Struthio camelus: one gene and its partners. The protein of the gene in region 2 interacts with the protein of the main gene of each other region in a biochemical or structural test. Links are inferred from orthologs where the notes say so. Each region holds a gene or a part of one and is shown on either strand. Other genes may lie near its edges. The genes, in order: SIAH2, RBBP8 and KLHL15.

Region 1 (5,688 bases), on a different chromosome or scaffold from region 2:
AGGCTCAGAGCTGCCTGATCGCTGGGGCGTTCTTCGGTCGTTCCGAACTTACAACCTCGCCTGCATCCCTCCCTTTTCCGAGCCGCTGCTGATGCGGACCCAGCCGCTGCGTAGGTCTACACTTGCTTTAAAGAGCGTGACGTTAATCACAGAAGTAACACGTGGAGGAATTTTCAGAAATACAGTATTTTTACATGAACTAGTCTTTTTGTATTATTTATATTTAGAGAGTGCCCAACTGGAGAAGTGTTTACAACTGATATATGTGAACTGAAACTTGCCTGAAAGATGTAGTGATCTTTATTCAGATGTGGGTTTTTTTTTTTCTGGGGGGGGGGGGGGTGGTGTTTAAACCTACTTCTCTGCTGGTGCTTACTCCTCTGCCCATGGAGAAAGAAAACCTTAAGGCATGAACAAGCCAATACCCTCAATTAAGGGCTTAAGAAACCTTTCTGTTACCAACTGAATAAATTAAAGTCTGACAGTTCATGTTAGGAATGTCTTATCTTCCTATTTTTAAGGGAAAAAACTCTATAGCATAGTTTCCTTCTTTCTTGCACACTTTCTTTAACCATAAAGCAGCTGGGAAGAGCAGGTGTCCTGTCTGGCAGTTCCAGCGCTGGAGAGATTTGCATCCTGCATAGATCAGTATTGTATTTCAATGCAAGAAACAGAGGCTGTAAGGCTTTTGGTCAGAAGAGCTGTTCTAGTGTTGATGCACCAATTTCGTTAGGGCAACTAGGGAATACCAGCTGCCACAGATTAGACTGACAAGACACTTTAGAAACTGAAAACTAGGCCAGCGTTTCAGTTGGGGGGGGGGGGGGGGGGATGCACTGAATGTTTTTATTCCCTGAGGCTAAGGAGCAGTCACAGCTGGGCATCTGACTCCCTGAACTTCTTGCCATGTCCAGCATGAAGAAGGAGCAGTGTGTTAGTTCGACGCTCCGTCGGTTGTTACCATCGGGAGATTCACTGCCATTCACAAGCTGCACAGTGGAACAGGTCCTGTGCTATCAACAACGCAGTAAGAGGCCTGCAGCCCTCCCGCTCTGCCTTGTGACCGAGCCCGTCCTCGCGAGGTAGCTGCTCTAACCGCGGACAGCGCTTAAACTGCTGCATGAGTCAACACAGGTGGTTCACTCCGAGCATGAATCATTAGCTGCCGTGCATCGTCAGTGAGTCCAGGCTGCTCTTACGGCCTGCCTCGTCGCCGGTACGCGCAATTGAAGTCTACTTGCAGTTCTCACTTCAAAATCCTACCACGCGGCTGTCGGGGCCAGGCGTTTGCTGCTCGCCTTTCTGCCCGCTGCTCTCCCACCTTGCAACAACCAGCTGTGCGTTTTAAAAGCTTCCTCTCATATTCCACATCAGTGATGGTTTTAGCAATTCCCGTATCTGTCCCTTGCTCACTTCAGCCCTGTGGTTTTAAAGTGCTTTTGGTACGGCAGCACAAGCGTCTGGGGACTCCAGAAAGCCATGGGAAGGATCCACTCAGCATTATCTCTGTGCACCTCTCTGCCATCCTGATGAATGTCTATTAGGAAGGATATGAACTAGAACAGTTCACCTGGTCCTTTTAAGGAGAACTCACTTAAAAATACCTGAGACTTAAATATTTAATCTGAACACCTGAAATAGTGCTAAGACAGTCAGAACAGCCTTAAAAAAATTTCAGAGGTAATTATTGACCTGACGGCTTACCAGTCCCTGTCCCTCAAAGGAGGGCTGCAGAAAACTACCAAAGACACAGGGAGAGAATTTCTGCTCCCTCCAGCAAACCTTTTTTCAAAACTAAATATCAGCACAGATTAAAATATTTGAAGAAAACAAAAAAGGTTCTCGCCTTTGTAACGACCGACTGTGCTAAATACTCAGACAAGACTTTTTTTCCCCATTTCATTTTCCAGCAAGAAGCAGCGCGAGGAACTCTGAGGGTATCTTCAAGGAGAGCAGAGGTAGTGTTTTAAATAGAAGACCAAGAAATCATCACCACCTATAAGTGACAGCAGGTTCACTTGGCAGTTTGTTGGATGAATCTTAGAAAATTCCTCAGCCTTCTCATAAACTGTTAATATTTCTGGACCAAACTAGCAAAGGACACGAGACACAGCCTCGCCTGGGAAATCCTGTAGTAGTGGTGCTCCCCTCCTCCGTGCGTTACCTGTGCCATCGGATGCACTCACACCACAGCCACCCCGTATCACGCTCTTCCTTTCCCAGCTAGCTAACAGACTGTTGGAACTGACTGTTTAGCTTATGGTCCAAAACCAGATCATGTCGTCCTCTGACACGGAGAAAAAAAAAAAAAGGGACTTCAAGACAGCATTCATACCAAAACAGCCACGTGCCTAGGCTCTTCCCCTGTGCTCTCTGGGGGAACCTGACGGGACTGAGAGTTGAGAACGTCTCAGGTTTTATGCTGCCTCCTGCGCACAGCTGCAGCAGGAGCTAGTGGATTTCTGTCTCCGTTTGAACCACTCTGTGCACTAAATCCAGGATTTGTACTCCAGCGTTACGCACTACTACCCAGTTATGGGTCCTCGCCTAAGGGAGTTCCCATTGCCACGATGGGTGGGAAGAACATTGTGCTTGCATCGAAATGCATGCCGATTTTAGAACGTATGTTTCAGATTTGGTATAAAGTGCAACCTGCTGGTACATGGATGGAAACAGAACGACAGGATGGTTGGGGGTGGCAGGGACCTCTGGAGATCGTCTAGTCCAACCCCCTGCTCGAGCAGGGTCCTCCGGGGCACGTTGCCCGGGATCGCGCCCAGGCGGGTTTTGAGTATCTCGGGCGAAGGAGACCCCAGCACCTCCGAGGGCTGCGAGGCGGAGGGAGGTTTGGAAGAACAAGCGGGGGGACGGAAAGGAGGCGCACCAGGAGGCTTCGCAGCCTGCGCCGCGAGGGCGGCGGAGCGGCCCGGGGCTTGGCCGCTGGGCGGCAGCGGGCTGACAGCTCGGGGGAAGCCTCGGAGGGGAAGGAAGGAGCGAGGAAAAGCGCCTGGGCCGGGGCGGCGGCCTTACCTTGCAGGGGAAGAGCACGGCCGAGGCCACCTTCTCCATGGCCAGGTTGCGGATGCTGGGGCTGAGGGAGCCCCGGCAGGTGGGGCAGAGGCTCAGCTTCTGCCGGCATGGGTTGCACACCAGGTGGCCGGCCTGGCACTGCAGGATGGGCGGCAGCACGTAGTCGAAGCAGACGGGGCACTCGAAGAGCGAGGTCAGCTCGTGGTGCTGCGGCGACGCCGCCCCCCCCCCGCCGCCGCCCCCCCCGGACAGCACGGCCGCGGCGGCGGGCACCGCCGAGGAGCCGGCGCCGGCTGCCGCGATGGTGGCGGCGGCGGGGGGGGCGGCGGCGGCGGCGGGCGGCGGCGGGGGGGGGCCGTGCTGCTGCTTGCCGCAGGGCTTGCTAGCGCCGGGCCCGGCGGACGGCGGGCGGCTCATGGCGCGCCGCGGGCACCATGGGGGCGCGGCGGCGGCGGCCGGAGCGCGGGGCTGACGCAAGAGCGCGGGGCGGGGCGGGGCGGGGCGGGGCTGACGCAAGAGCGCGGGGCGGCGCGGGGCGGGGCGGGGCGGAGCTGACACAAGAGCGCGGGGCGGGGCGGGGCGGGGCGGGGCTGACGCAAGAGCGCGGGGCGGGGCTGACGCAAGAGCGCGGGGCGGGGCGGGGCGGGGCGGGCGCGGGGCGGGGCGGGGCTGACACAAGAGCGCGGGGCGGGGCTGACGCAAGGGGGCGGGGCGGGGCGGGGCGGGGCGGGGCGGGCGCGGCCTCAGCGCCGCCGCCTACGGAGCATGCCCGGCCGGCGGGGGCGTTTCGCGCCGCGAGGGGAAGGCGGTTGGCGGAGGCGCTTTCCGCTGGCCCCGTAGCGCTGGCGGGGCAAGGCGCTGCAGCCCCAGGACAGGAGTCCTGCAGAGCCCCTTCCTTCCTCTGAGGAAAAGAGGGCGGCTGGGCGGCGGAGCGCAGCGCCGCTGCTGGCCCTGGCGACGGCCCGGCCGGGTGAGGAGCGGCGCGGATACCTGGTGCGGTGCCCCCGCAGCCGGGCCGCGGCTGGCGTCGAGCGCTGCAGCGCCAGCCCGTTTCCCCGTCAGCAAAACGAGCAAGGGTTTCCTGCCGACGTTACTGCCCCGAGGGCGCGCCTCGCGGCTTGGCGGCCTTGTCCCGGAGCGAGCAGCGCGTCGCCGTAACGCTGCTGTTCGCACAGGCCCCTCTGGCTCTCCGCTCCAGGCCTGGCCGAGCGCCTCGCTAAGGGACTAGATGTGCTGCGCTTCCGTTGAAAGAAGGTGCCTCGGTAACCGAAGTCTTGTTTTTCTCATGCCCTTTGCTGAGTTCCGCTGAATCGGGTGACACAGCCCAGTCAACAAAGTCTTCGGCATACGTTTCTGGTAACGGGGTTTTCTTGAGTATTGTGAGAAATCATACAATAATGCAGAACGCATTCATGTGCAATGAAAAGGTCTTGCACTTTCCGAGACACAAATCAACAAGACCTTAGGGTGAAACTCAGCAGGGAAGTCCCCAAAGGTGCAAGCGGGAGATGTGACCTGAATTCTTGCTGAAATTTATTAGGAACTAATTATTTCACTGAGTGAAGCTTGTGAAAACCTTGCCACACTGCTGCTGCCGCGTCCCCCCTTCTCAGGGGAAGTTCCTCTGATCAGAATATCATCGCACTGTTGGTACAGTCTCACATCCGGAGGGAGGGAGACTGTCTGTAAAAAGTCCAGCAAGTGCGGCATGAGCAATCATGGGTGAAAGTTTACGCCCCTGCGGGAGTCTGCTGAAGGTATGTTTTGTTCCCTCCCACGTGAAAGCGAGCCTCTGTTTGCCCTCCTCCCGCGAGGGGACCGTGAAGGACATGTCTTCCGCGTCTAGCGCCGCCATCCATGGGTGTGCAGCCGCTCGCACGGCGCCTGTGAAGTCTGCAGCGTTTGGTACAGCAGCTGGTAGCGGGGCTCTGGTAGCGCTCAGGCGCCCGTAATCAATTGTCAAACGCCACCTCCCGTCTGGTTTCCGAACTGGCCAGACCGGTGGGTTATATGGGCAGTGGCTTCTGGAGATAACCTGACCTTTCTGCAAACCAGCTCTGACTTCAGCAGTTCCATTTCGTGCCGCAGCAGAAAAACTTCACAAATGGTCCTTGAGGACCAGCTGGAATCAAAATACATGGGCCATCATCAAGCCTCCGCTTGCTGGACAGGCAGACCCAGCTGCCTTCGGGGCATTACTCGTCGTGGGGCTTCATGCCCTGCAATTCCCCCCTGCGGGGGAGGAAGGGGTTGTTTCCCTCTCTGGGAGCTGGCGCTGGAGAAGTCAAAGCACGCTCCCCTCTTTGGCCGTTATCTCGTTTCTGGGAAGCGTCCATCAGGCTCGAGATAAGGCCAGTAGGCCGACCTCGGATCGCGGCTCGGGGGACGCCTGGGGCTGAGGCTTTCCTCCACAGTCGTTTCTCCGTTCTCGAGAGTCTGTTCGCAGGTCCTGAGGCTTGTTTCCCTTTGACTTGGTTTCTGTTCCCTGTGGGGGTGCCTGTATCGCTGGTCTCGCCCTATGATCTCTTCCCCGGCGCTTCAGGTTTGGTTTTTCGGCTGTTGGATGGTCCCAGCCCATTTCACGGCTGTGGTTAACGATGCCGTGCGTTAATTCTGCCCATGTTGGCAGGTGCCTGCGGAGGTCATCGTCACCTAGTC
Region 2 (5,688 bases):
CTTTTTATTTCTAAGAAGCACTCTAGAAAATAACTGTGTCTTCTGTCCAAATAATCTGAATGGATGTAGTTCTCCCATGTTGAAATTTACAGCAGTATATCTCCACTGACTTCTGCAGTTTATCCTAATTTACTGTCAATAAGTGAATGCAGAATAAGACCAACAGTTGAACTTTACCCTTATCTCCTTTCCAGATTTACTTGATTTTATGTAGAAAAATGTGTTCCATAATCACATACCTGACCACAAGTTACTGAATGGATCCCTGGCTCACTAAACGTGCTAGCAAACTTCTGAAGAGTCTGATATTCCACATTCAGTATATTGGATGTTTAAGCTGACTAGTCTAACTGGAACTGCATCTCATTCATCTCATAAGAGTAAACACCCACACCTAGACAATAAAACTGTGGGAAAAAAAGACTTTGTCATTTTAGCACTTGAGCAGATACAAAAGTTCCTGTGGAATCATGGCTGGTGTCCAGATTTCAAAGTAACCCTTAATATGGCACATCAAACTGGATAACAGAATACATATCTATGAACAACTCTGAAACAGAAAAGGGAGTATAATGTAATCCCAGCCCATTTTAGACCCTAATGCCTAAAACGTTTAGCCTTACTAGTAGTATATGAAGCTGTTGACTGTCAGTTACAGTTTAATGGTAATACCTTCTTGGCGACTGGACCATTTGCTAGCAAATCAGCTACTGATTGAATTTATTTTGTAAGAGTACTGCAGTGTTGCACAGATAAAATAACCCCCCCCCCTTTTTTTTGGTAGCGCAGAGGCTGCATTAGTGTTTCTAACCAGTCAGATAACGGTAAGTACAAACAAAGTAGCTTTAAAAGAGAATAGTGGATAGCTTGAATTTTTTTGCTGCTACTACCTTAAATTTAGATGCGAAGATTAAAGCCAGCTTTGAATGGCAATTATCATTGTACTTACACAATGATAAATAAATTGCTCTTTTCCTGCATATATATGTAATAGTGAAACCCTTATTTATTCACATAACATATAGCAGATTGCACATATATGTACATGCCAGTGTGTTCACAACCTCCCTGTCATGCAGGATCTGCATTGAGAGATAAATATATTGATTAATCTCTAGGAATGTTCATTTCATGAACTTCATGTTGTAGCTGCCACTAAGGACATCACATGAGCCCAGCTTCATATGTAGTGAGTGAGAGCATGCAACACGTTTCAGCAGCTACCTACGTGGAATTTCAACTAGGAGTGTAGAAAGTGGCAGTCCTCTGAATGGTATCATTTCTTAAAACTGGGAGAGCACACAGCACACAATCTGTCTGGCACTGATAGCATTTGCTTTTTCCGGAAGAATAGGGAGGAGCTACTCCATCACCCCCACGAGTTGAATTTGAGTCTTCTCAAGCAACTTGCATAGCCACTTTTGAACTCAAGCCAAGGGCAAATTCCCTGATGCCAATAACATTGTTCACTGTAAGGAACCCTTTTCTTTGAAGTGCTTACACCGCTCCTCATCTGTAGTCTGAAACAGCTGGGATTTGCTTGGCTGGAACTCTCAGGTCCTTTAGAGAGGCTTGATGGAGGGGAAAAAAGCAACCCGAGGGATGCTGTTTCAGGACTTCAGTGTAGCGTTCCTGGTCCTCCAAGGACGGTAGATTCTAAGGAGCAGCGCCTGTTTATGTTAGCTACAGACTGAAATGGTTTGCTCTTACCAATATTACTTGGGTTTATATGAATAGGCTGAGTAGTTATGCCTATTTATATTAGCCTTGGAAGTCTATTTCAGGCTTGGAAGACTGAAGTAAAAATTTGCACATCTGTATATCATGCCACCTACTTCTTGCTATAGCGAGCGACAAGAATTCAGAACGGGAGAACAAGCAAAACAGAATAGCAGTTGGGAAATGGTATTTTACTTACCTTTACCTTTTGGGGAAAAAAATCCCTAAACAATGGCCTCTGCCCCAAAGAAAAAGCAATCAGGCAAGAACCCAAATAAAATGGAGCACAAAAATTGCTAAGGCAGAGGGTGGCAAGCAGTATTTTAAAAAATGATGTATTTCATTTGAATTTTAAAAATTGTACAGTGTTCCAATTCTATAGCTTTAGCAAAGAGAGCTCTCTCGGAGCATTTTATGGTCTCTACAGAGTGTCCCTGGTCAAACCATACAGTTCAGCCACTTACAGTTTTTCCTTTTGAGAATGGTGTATTCCTTAGTCTAAGTAAATTTTAATCCCATATTTGATAGTAAAATCAACAGAGATGCTAAGAATTAAATGCTTTTTCCTGATGCATATTTTTAGCCTCTGTGAGAGCGCAAGACTTCCCCTGTGTTGTTTTCCATTCTTTTACACTTTGAAGAACGGTTTTAACTAACAGATAAAGTGCAGCCAGCAAGAAGGTCATTTCAGTCTCTCATTCATTTTTTTAAGCTGCTCAGGAGGCCTTTTTATTGGCAATCTACAAAAGAATAATAATGTTCATTTTTGCATCAACCTGGAAATAGCAGGCAGTAAACACCTCCATAATTGAAGCTTCCTGTTGTGTGACTTCCATAAATTCTTACATAATCTTGCATATATCTACACGTATCTAGTGGTTTATGTCCACTAGGGCAGGAATTATTTTTTTACCTCATGAAAGAGAACTGTGATTGTGTCACTTAAAGAGAGACTAAAATAACATTTCCAGGGAGATGGAAGCGGCTATATGAGTTTTCAAGAACGTAGTTACACAGAGGGTGAGAAGATTCAGATTTACTTCAGTTAAAGAGTTATTTTGTCCTAACAGGCATGACAAAACCTGTCTTCATTCCTTTCTATTCAGCTCAGCAAGTACTTCTGTGCTGCAGTAGTTAATCAGTTACCAGATTCCACAGCTTTTGTTTTCACACTGTTTAATTTTTCTTTTTTGACACTGTACCTGTGAATGGTTTCAGTTGCAGATCCAGGTACAACTTTCAGGGCTGCCTGCTCTTTTGGATTAAGACTCTTTTTTATTATAATTGCTACCACCGTTACTTATTACATTCTAAACAGGAAGTTTCTAATAAATATATAGAAAGAAAGCAGTTAAGAATGACAAATACATTTCCTATATTGCTGTTAAGTCAATTTTGAAAATGTAAATCGAGTTTAGTTAACCCACTCCATAAAACTACACAATTAAAAAAAAAAATGTTGGTCCAGCAAGTATTAGTTATCACACATATTACTGTAATGGCACTGTGCTTTTTCACAGCAGTGCTATTATGGGATTATAAAAAACACTATAAAAGAGAAGACCGAGAAGGATAAGCTAACTTAACTGACCAACTCAAAATACTAAGTCATTGGCAGTGGAGTTTCCATCTCACACTCCTGTGCTGAGTTCATTAAACTGTCTCTCCAGTAAATATTCTTGAAGACAGAGCAGATGATGTTGAGCTGCGTGCAGAATGGTCAAAAGCTGCAGTCGCAAAAATGTCAACAAGCGCCACAGAGGCTGGCAGTACCCAGACACATTAAGGAGATAGCCATTCTCCCACTTCAAGCATAGAATAAAATTTTTGCTTTAGTTTATCTTAAGTTAATTTTAAAGAAAGACTTTCAAAACTCACCCTTCTGTTTGAATTGTGAAAAGTTCTGTTCTTGATCGGGGTGATAAATATTTACTATTGACTTCCCCTCCAGCTATAAACCTCAAGTGTAAGTAAGATGAGGAAGCCACTGTGGACCACACTAGAGAGTGCCGAGAGGAGATCTGCTGCACCTAAGATATATACAATGTGCAATGGATAACCTAATATGCCTTTCATTTAACTGGCTGGGCAGGTTTCTGCATTCTGGAGAGCATGGAATCATACCAGAATTTGTTGGCATAACAGGCCTGTCAGACCGGTTCCCCGGGCGCCCGGGAACCTGCCCAACCAGTCTGCATCAAAGGCCAGCCCAACATGCTGCAGCTCAGCTCAGCTCAGCTCAAGGAAGGCTTCATACGCGGTGAATTATTCATGCCTTTGTCAACTCTCAACATACTACTCAGATAGAATGATGTAGCCTCCAGCAAAATAATTTACCAAGGGGTGGGGGAGTGATATATCCTTGTTAAGTATAGCAAGATCTTATTGTTATAAGCTTTCTTTCATTTTATATGCAGATGCACTGGGCTAGAGGTCTTGCTCAGCATAAATGCAGAGGGAAATGGGAACAAAAAATGTCTTTTTTTATATATCACTAATCATGCAGACTTCTTAAAATCAGATAACCCCAAATGTTTAGTGCAATTAGCTAAGAGAAAAATTAAGTGCCAGTCCTCCTATAAGTGTGAGAGAATACCCTGTGTATAGGATATCGCATAGCTTTGTTACATGTGGGGAGACAGCCAGTGTAATCTTGCCCGGCATTACTGCATTACCACACAGGATATTTGAACGTGAAACGGGTCAGAGAATATGGAGTATACGGGACATGCTTCCATAACCATGAACTGCTTGTGAAGCAGTGCTCTCCTCCTGTGAAGGATACAGCAGCTGCCCTAGCACATGGGTTGCAGCAGCAGCTGCGCTGCTTCTTACTCATGTCTGGGGGGCAAGAATACTTGCACATCAGTCCTGCCTATAGCATATTTATTCAAGGTGTAGACAGAGATCAGGATCTCTGCCCCAACAGAATCCTGCATCTGTATAAACTTACTGCTTTCTTTCAAATACAAATATAGACCATAATTTTCAGCTCTCATGCTGTGATTGTTGGGGTTATTGACTAAAATCAGTAGGAGCTGTGGATGTTTAGCACTTTTGGAAAAGTGCATAAAACTAGCCTGCTAAATCTATGCTTAGGTTCCTTTAGCTTTTATTTAGCCACCTAAATTTAAACACTCAGGCTTAGAAAAGATTAGCTCCGTTCAGTATTGTCTAAGACTGACTAACTTTAGAAAGTTGTGTTTGTTCGTTAAGCAATCCCACTGTGGTATCATCTATCCTTCTTTTGATCTTCATGTCTTATTTATCCATTTTAATAATAGCTACTAGATGACTAGTGGTCAGAACAGGAACTTAGCGTCCACTTTAACCAGCCTTGTGCAACATAATGAGTGGTTTTTCATCATTGACCAGAAAAGCTAACAGAAGAAACACTAATATCTGCGTATGCTGTATTCAGACTATTTTACTACAGGAAAGTAACATTTCTTGTAAGATTATATTTTATGTTGGCCTTTAGTGGAAGGCTTAATTCTAAAGAAGGCAACTGGATTACTAACTGAGCTGAAATGACAGATGTATACTGTTTGTGCTTGCACATACACCACCTTAGGCTATGATTTCATACAGCTAAGCAGGGCTGGGCTTGGTCAGTACTTGGATAAGAGATTTACAAGAAAGTCCGTTGCAGGAAGTGGCTTTGGTGATTCAGTGTGCTGTACTAAATAACTGAGCGTCAAAGCCAAATGTGATGGAGACACTGGGTTCTGGACATGTCATAGATTTGGTGTCCTAAAATGGATTTGATTAAAGACTCCAAAACCCTTTCCATAGACAACACATTTTGAACTGTAAATCCTTGTCCAATGTGAATATAGTTTGTCTGGAAACACTGCCTTCAATTTCTTTTTGAGTGTTGCATAATTGGAATTGCCTAGCTCATTGATGTAGGTAAATCACAAACCAAAACAGCTGATAAATGACATACAACGTAGAGAAGGTGCTGCT
Region 3 (5,688 bases), on a different chromosome or scaffold from region 2:
ACCGACGACAACCCCTTTCAGGAGCTTGTTGAACTCCCTCCCCTGACAGCTGGCCACCCTCGGGTGCTGCGGGCTGACCCTACAGCTGTCTTCTTGCCACAGTGAGAATCGGGTCACCAGAGCCACAGGCCCTGCTTGCTAGCATAGCTGCCCTGGGGCAGCAAACTGCGCGTAGCTGACAGGAAACCGCGGCCCAGCAGGGGATGAGCAGGTTTCTGCCCTAGCCCAAACTTCACCTCCTTGCTTTCTGCAGCTTGCCCTTGCCCAGCAATCAGTGACTTCAGTGCAAGAAGGAAAAACAGCCAACACTTCCCACCCATGTAATGACAGCGCGCTAAACTGTGTCGACCATTGGTCTGCCACTGCCACCCCCAAACCATTCACTACCTGCTACTGTACCTCTCCCATCACCTTCTATCTCACTTGCTGCCTTTAATAACAGGCCACACGCTGCCATCCTCTCTGTTTATTGCTGTTCCCATCCCTTTCACTATCTATTTTCAGTCTCTCATTACCACCCCCATCCCATTCTTGATTTATGACACAAGAACATAACTGCTCTGTAACTGCCACCCCCAATCTGAATGCCCTTCCCACCTTTCATAGCTCCACAACCAACCAGCTATGCCGTGCACTGCTTCACAGAAGACTTCCCACTGCTATTCCCACTCTGCTAACTGACCTCCTACTGCTCCCTCACGGCCTACTTAGGCCACACTACAATCAGCCGGCTCCCATTCACTCCATCATACCAACAACCTGACCTCTCTCTACTCAGCTAACTTCATACCATTCCATCTCGTGCCCTAACTCATGCAGTAAATTTGCCCCGTTTCCCCGGTCACTGCTTCAAAACCTGTTACTAATGCAGTTATGGTTAAACAAACTAACGTTTATCTATTGACTCTCTCCAAGAGAGCTACTGTTGCTGCCCTCTAAGTCTTACAGAGAAAAGACATTCTCATCCTTAGTCATAGGATATATGTCCTCTGCTGTTCCAACCACATACCCACTCATAGCACACTCATGCTTCAGTAAAGAAAAATTGGAGTAGGAAATAAATATTTTGTACAGAAATGATACAACATGAACAACTTTCTGCTCTCTTCAGACTTTTCACCTTCATAGGTCAGTTAAAGGTGGAAAGAGCTAGCAGGACTGTTTTGGTTTCAGCTGTCATTTTGCTGTTGGCAGTTTGTGGCCGGCCGACGTATAAGACGATCTTTAGGTCTCCCATACACTGCCACAGAAGACAACCTCAAACCAAGCCAAACTGCCTCCTGACAGCTTTGACATACTCACTGTCAACATAAAAAAGCACAACAAAACAAACCTCCTTCTCCTTCACATTAGACAATTTGCTTCTAATGAAAAAATCAAAATGCGTTAATAATGCCTCAATTTTAATCTCCTAACTAAAAACGTTATTAACTTTGAGCCCCAGCCAACGACCACTGGTGTCAGTATTACCTTAATGAGCATTAATGCAAATGGAGATTTGGATGGAAACCTCTCATTTAGGCATCTGTACAATCTCGGTTGCTAAGTAGTTCCCACTGACATAAATGAGACTATTACCATAAAATTATGCACTTGAGTGTTTGAGCTATATTAGTACACTAGTTGCCATTTCATTTGTGTAGTTTTAAACCTTATTTATTTTATATGTATAGGTGTATGAGTAATACACTTGACAGTTCCTAAAAACGTGAGGTTTTATCCTGTTTTATTAGACATTTGCCAGTCTTTAGACTTTTCTGGTTTTTTCTTCATATTAGGAGAACTCAAAAATGGAGTGAATCAAAGTAAGACCATCTCAGAATATGTGAAATGTATAATTTTATTTTTAAAGTAGGAGAAACGGTTTGTGTACTTTTTCAGATGCCTAACATCTCTTGGCAAGGATTAAATCATTTATAAAGGCTATTGCAAATGTGACAAAAACTGCTTCTATAATTTTATATTGCACTGTGCTGTTGTATAATTTACACAGCTAAATAAGTACAGAGCCTGGTATTTTCAGCTCATTTTCACAAAACAGTGATTATACATGCCTAGAAGTCCAGGCAACTATAACCAAGTATTGCATCATGCTCCCATCATACTTTGTGTACCTCAGTCATAAGCATCTACTCTTTTTCCTAGAAGTGGGATAATTTATTGAAAATTGTAATACATCATCTAGCCTGAAAAAGACTAGATACAAATTTTTTAATTTTACATTTTGTATATAATTTTATAGTTTTTTATTTCATGTATTTTGGATTTATAGTAGATTTATATTCATTTTTGGTCAATTTGTGCAGAACTATTGTGTTGCAGGACAAAACAGAGTTTATCACTGGCAACATCACTGCATCCACTGTAAGGTTTCTTGCTACATTCGCATATTCATTTCTTCAAAACAAGAATGCTGCCAATGCACTTGCTCTAGGTTTTTTGGAGTAAAACTCACGTCTGAATCTTGTTTCAGGAAAGAAATGGAAATATTAGGATTTGTGAAAGTGGGAGGTTACAAGCATTTTTAAGCCAGGCATACCAGTTTTGTACAGATTTCCATCATCACACTTCAGTCACGTTGTCGGGTATTCCAAACCTATTTTTGTCACCCAGTTAGCCAGGCAATATCCGAGTACCTTCACATTTTTCAGTAGGCAAAGACACTGCTGATGAACATGGATGTATTTGACACAACGGTTACTTACATTGAAACCTGTTTCTCTGAGATCATAGAAGAAATCCTACTAGGAGCAATAGCCTCTATGCCTGTAAGAAGAGGTTTCCATGAAGGAGACAGTTTGAGTTTCCAAGTGGAAGGGCTAGGAATTTGGCCGTTATCTCATAGTCTCTGTTAAACTTCCAAGCTGGCTGTCATCACTGCACCAGGGATTTTATTTGAATTTTAAAGCACTTATGTTGTGCCCAAATCTGAAAACAGCATGCATGTGGTGGGGGTTTTAGTTGTCTGGTATGAAAGATTCGAGCTGTTCATTCTTGGGGCAGGGTCTTATGTCCATATGTTCTCTATACCACTAAGCACTGAGCCTACAAAAGACAGCAAGAAGAAGAAGGTTGACATTCAAAATCTTGTTAGGCAGATGGCCAGCAAAGATTACTAACATTTGTATAGTGACATTTTACCGTAAAAACACAAACACAAATGCTCTGACATCAAATTAGGTGTTCTCTTTTCTAGTGCATACAAACACATCTGGTTGTCATTTTCACCCTTATCCTCTTTTCTGCCTCATGCCCATTTACTGTGCTAGATAAACCTGCATTTTCTTGCTGTTGCATATGCATCAACAAAAGCTGATCCTCACTGCCATCCATAACCACAGAAAGAAACTCATTCTTTTGGTACAGCTCTCAGCAAAACCAGCCCCCATCTTGATTACAGCATCGAAGCGACTACATTTTAGGTATTACATACCGCAATAATATAAAATAACAGCGGGGCCCAGGCAGCCTGCAGTTCTAAAGACAAGAGACAACCCCTTTTCAACAGAAATACTTAAAACACGCTAATTTATGAGGCGTTTGTCACTGCCACAGGAACGCGAGGCTGCGTGTAAGACCAAGCACAAACCGTCCCTGACGGTACGTCTGAAGGAGCTCACCTCTCGCCATCCCCCCTCCCTCTCTTCAGCGCCTCCGCCCGCGCAACGGCCCCGTCGCCCCGGGCTCACGACCGTTCCCTGAAGATGGGGGGGGGAGGGGCGGCGGGCGCGCACTGCGCACGCGCGCCGCGGCCCCGCCCCGCTGCCCGCCACCCGCGCGCGCACGCGCACGGCCCCCGCCCGGCTCGCGGCGCTGGCGCACGCGGAGCGGCGCCTGCCGCAGGCCCGGTTGCATCACCCCGGCGCGAGGCAGACGCGGGGTCCTTCCCGGGGCTGCCCCGCCGCGCGCCTGAGCCGCTCCCGCCCCGCGGCGTGCCTGGCGGCGGCCCCGCGCCGCTCCGCGAGGCGGCGGCCCGAGCCGAGCGCCTCGGTACCGCCGGGCGGGCGGCGGGCGGGGCGCGGGCGGCGGCGGCGCCGAGCCCCGCCGGGGGTCAGGCGGCCGCCGCGGGCTCCTCGCTTCCTCTTCGGGCAAAGATGGCGGGGGATGAGGCGGGAGTGACTCTGGGGCAGCCGCACCTCTCCCGGCAGGACCTCGCCACCTTGGTGAGGGGGGCGCGGCGGCGGGCGGCGGGGCCGCCGGCACGCGGAGGCTGAAGGGATGCGGGCTCCCCCGCCCCCGGGCCGGGCGGCCGTTGGGGGCCGCCGGCTGGCAGGGCGGCGGGGCCGGGGAGGGGGCGCGGGGCCGGGCGGCGCTCCGGGCCGGCCGCGGGAGCCGGTCAGGCTGGGCGGGGCGGGCGGGATGGGGCCCCTGGCTCGCTGGAGCCGTGAGAGGAGAGCGGAGCTCGGTGGGCTTGCCTCCCGGCTCCCTCGGCAGGGGAGGCCTTCGTGTGGCGACGGTGGGGGACGTGCCGCGCCCTCCTCCTCAAAGGCTGCTTTGCCCGAAGGAGAATTGCGCTTTGGTTTTCTCTTCTCCGAGGGGGCTAGGCAGTTTGCTTGCCTGCGCCGTCTGGGTTGGTCTTTGTGTGCTCCGCAAAGACCACCAGGAAATCAGTCGCAGAGGGTCTCTCGCTGTGGTCGGCTCGCCGAATAGATGCCTAGCCGCGGCTGTCTCACTTTCTTCATGTACGCAGGCAGAGCCAGTCAGAAGTCCCACTGGTTGCTGTCTCCCTGGTTTTCAGCAAATTAGGGGTTATTTTTGTCTTTACAGTGTTAACGTTTCTGAGCACAGGAGTTTTCTCCGTGTTGTACGTAAGCATGTTGATACTCAGGAGTGAAGCATGTTAATTGTTTCAGAAGGTTCCTTTACTCGCTTCCTTTTCTGGTTGGCCTTGGTATTTGCCAACTGGAAAAAGAGCAGACGTGCTTAACTGGGAGGTCAGTATGAATTATGCTTAAGCCCTGTCCTGTATTAATTTCATTTGGCTGTTGAGTGCTCGCATTTGGCTGGAGCTTATAGCCAAACTTAACCTTATACTAGTCTTGAGGGAAAAAAATGCATACGTACGTAATTGTGTGCTGGGAGCAGCTCTGTTGATGACAGGTTTTGCGTCATGCGTATATGCATGTCATCCTACTATATAGTGCCGTCTGCAGGTCACGTCCCCCCTTCTGACTTCAGTAGATCTAGTCATGTTAAGTTGGGTGTACAAGAAGTATATATTCAAGCGCCTCTGTTAAATGAACAAAACTTGTTTATCTGTTGAACCTGAATACTAAGTTCATGTAATTCCTGAAAATAAGCTAAAATACAATGAGTGAAATTCATGAAAATGTAATGGGTAGAATGAACTTGCTCATTATAGGCCTGAACTTAGCCTTAACTGCATAAGATTGTATTTCATCACTGTGCACAGAATCTGTCTGTATGACAGTGTAGACAGTATATGATTCTGTGCCAATTAGTGTGTATGCACGTGTACTGTATGCATCTTCACAAAGTATTTGTGTGACGTCCTGCACTGAGAACTGTTCTGGCATTGTGGATCTTTGCTTGAACTCAGCAGCCCACCCACATGGACTCGGTGCAGGATCAGGCCTTCAGGCCTTGAAATTAACTGTGAACAATCTCAGAAATAGCGCAGAAGAACGTTTCAGTGGATTTCAATGTTTATCCAGTATTGGAACAAAT

The links.
Region 1: the proteins of RBBP8 (region 2) and SIAH2 form a complex in vitro, tested with the Homo sapiens proteins (2 studies listed by BioGRID). The link is inferred for Struthio camelus from reciprocal best matches to the Homo sapiens genes RBBP8 and SIAH2.
Region 3: the proteins of RBBP8 (region 2) and KLHL15 form a complex in vitro, tested with the Homo sapiens proteins (2 studies listed by BioGRID, with this or other methods). The link is inferred for Struthio camelus from reciprocal best matches to the Homo sapiens genes RBBP8 and KLHL15.

Annotation. Positions count from the first base shown.
Region 1 is NC_090950.1:33,746,918-33,752,605, reverse strand, and holds the start of SIAH2 (E3 ubiquitin-protein ligase SIAH2), read right to left. Parts: upstream 3,448-5,688; coding exon 3,031-3,447; intron 1-3,030. UniProt on the Homo sapiens protein: E3 ubiquitin-protein ligase that mediates ubiquitination and subsequent proteasomal degradation of target proteins.
Region 2 is NC_090943.1:120,912,437-120,918,124, reverse strand, and holds the start of RBBP8 (DNA endonuclease RBBP8), read right to left. Parts: upstream 3,773-5,688; 5' UTR 3,598-3,772; intron 1-3,597. UniProt on the Homo sapiens protein: Endonuclease that cooperates with the MRE11-RAD50-NBN (MRN) complex in DNA-end resection, the first step of double-strand break (DSB) repair through the homologous recombination (HR) pathway.
Region 3 is NC_090942.1:135,263,595-135,269,282, reverse strand, and holds the start of KLHL15 (kelch-like protein 15), read right to left. Parts: upstream 3,706-5,688; 5' UTR 3,621-3,705; intron 3,046-3,620; exon of another isoform or gene 2,706-3,045; intron 1-2,705. Other genes in the region: EIF2S3 (eukaryotic translation initiation factor 2 subunit 3), read left to right, coding at 4,095-4,163. UniProt on the Homo sapiens protein: Substrate-specific adapter for CUL3 E3 ubiquitin-protein ligase complex.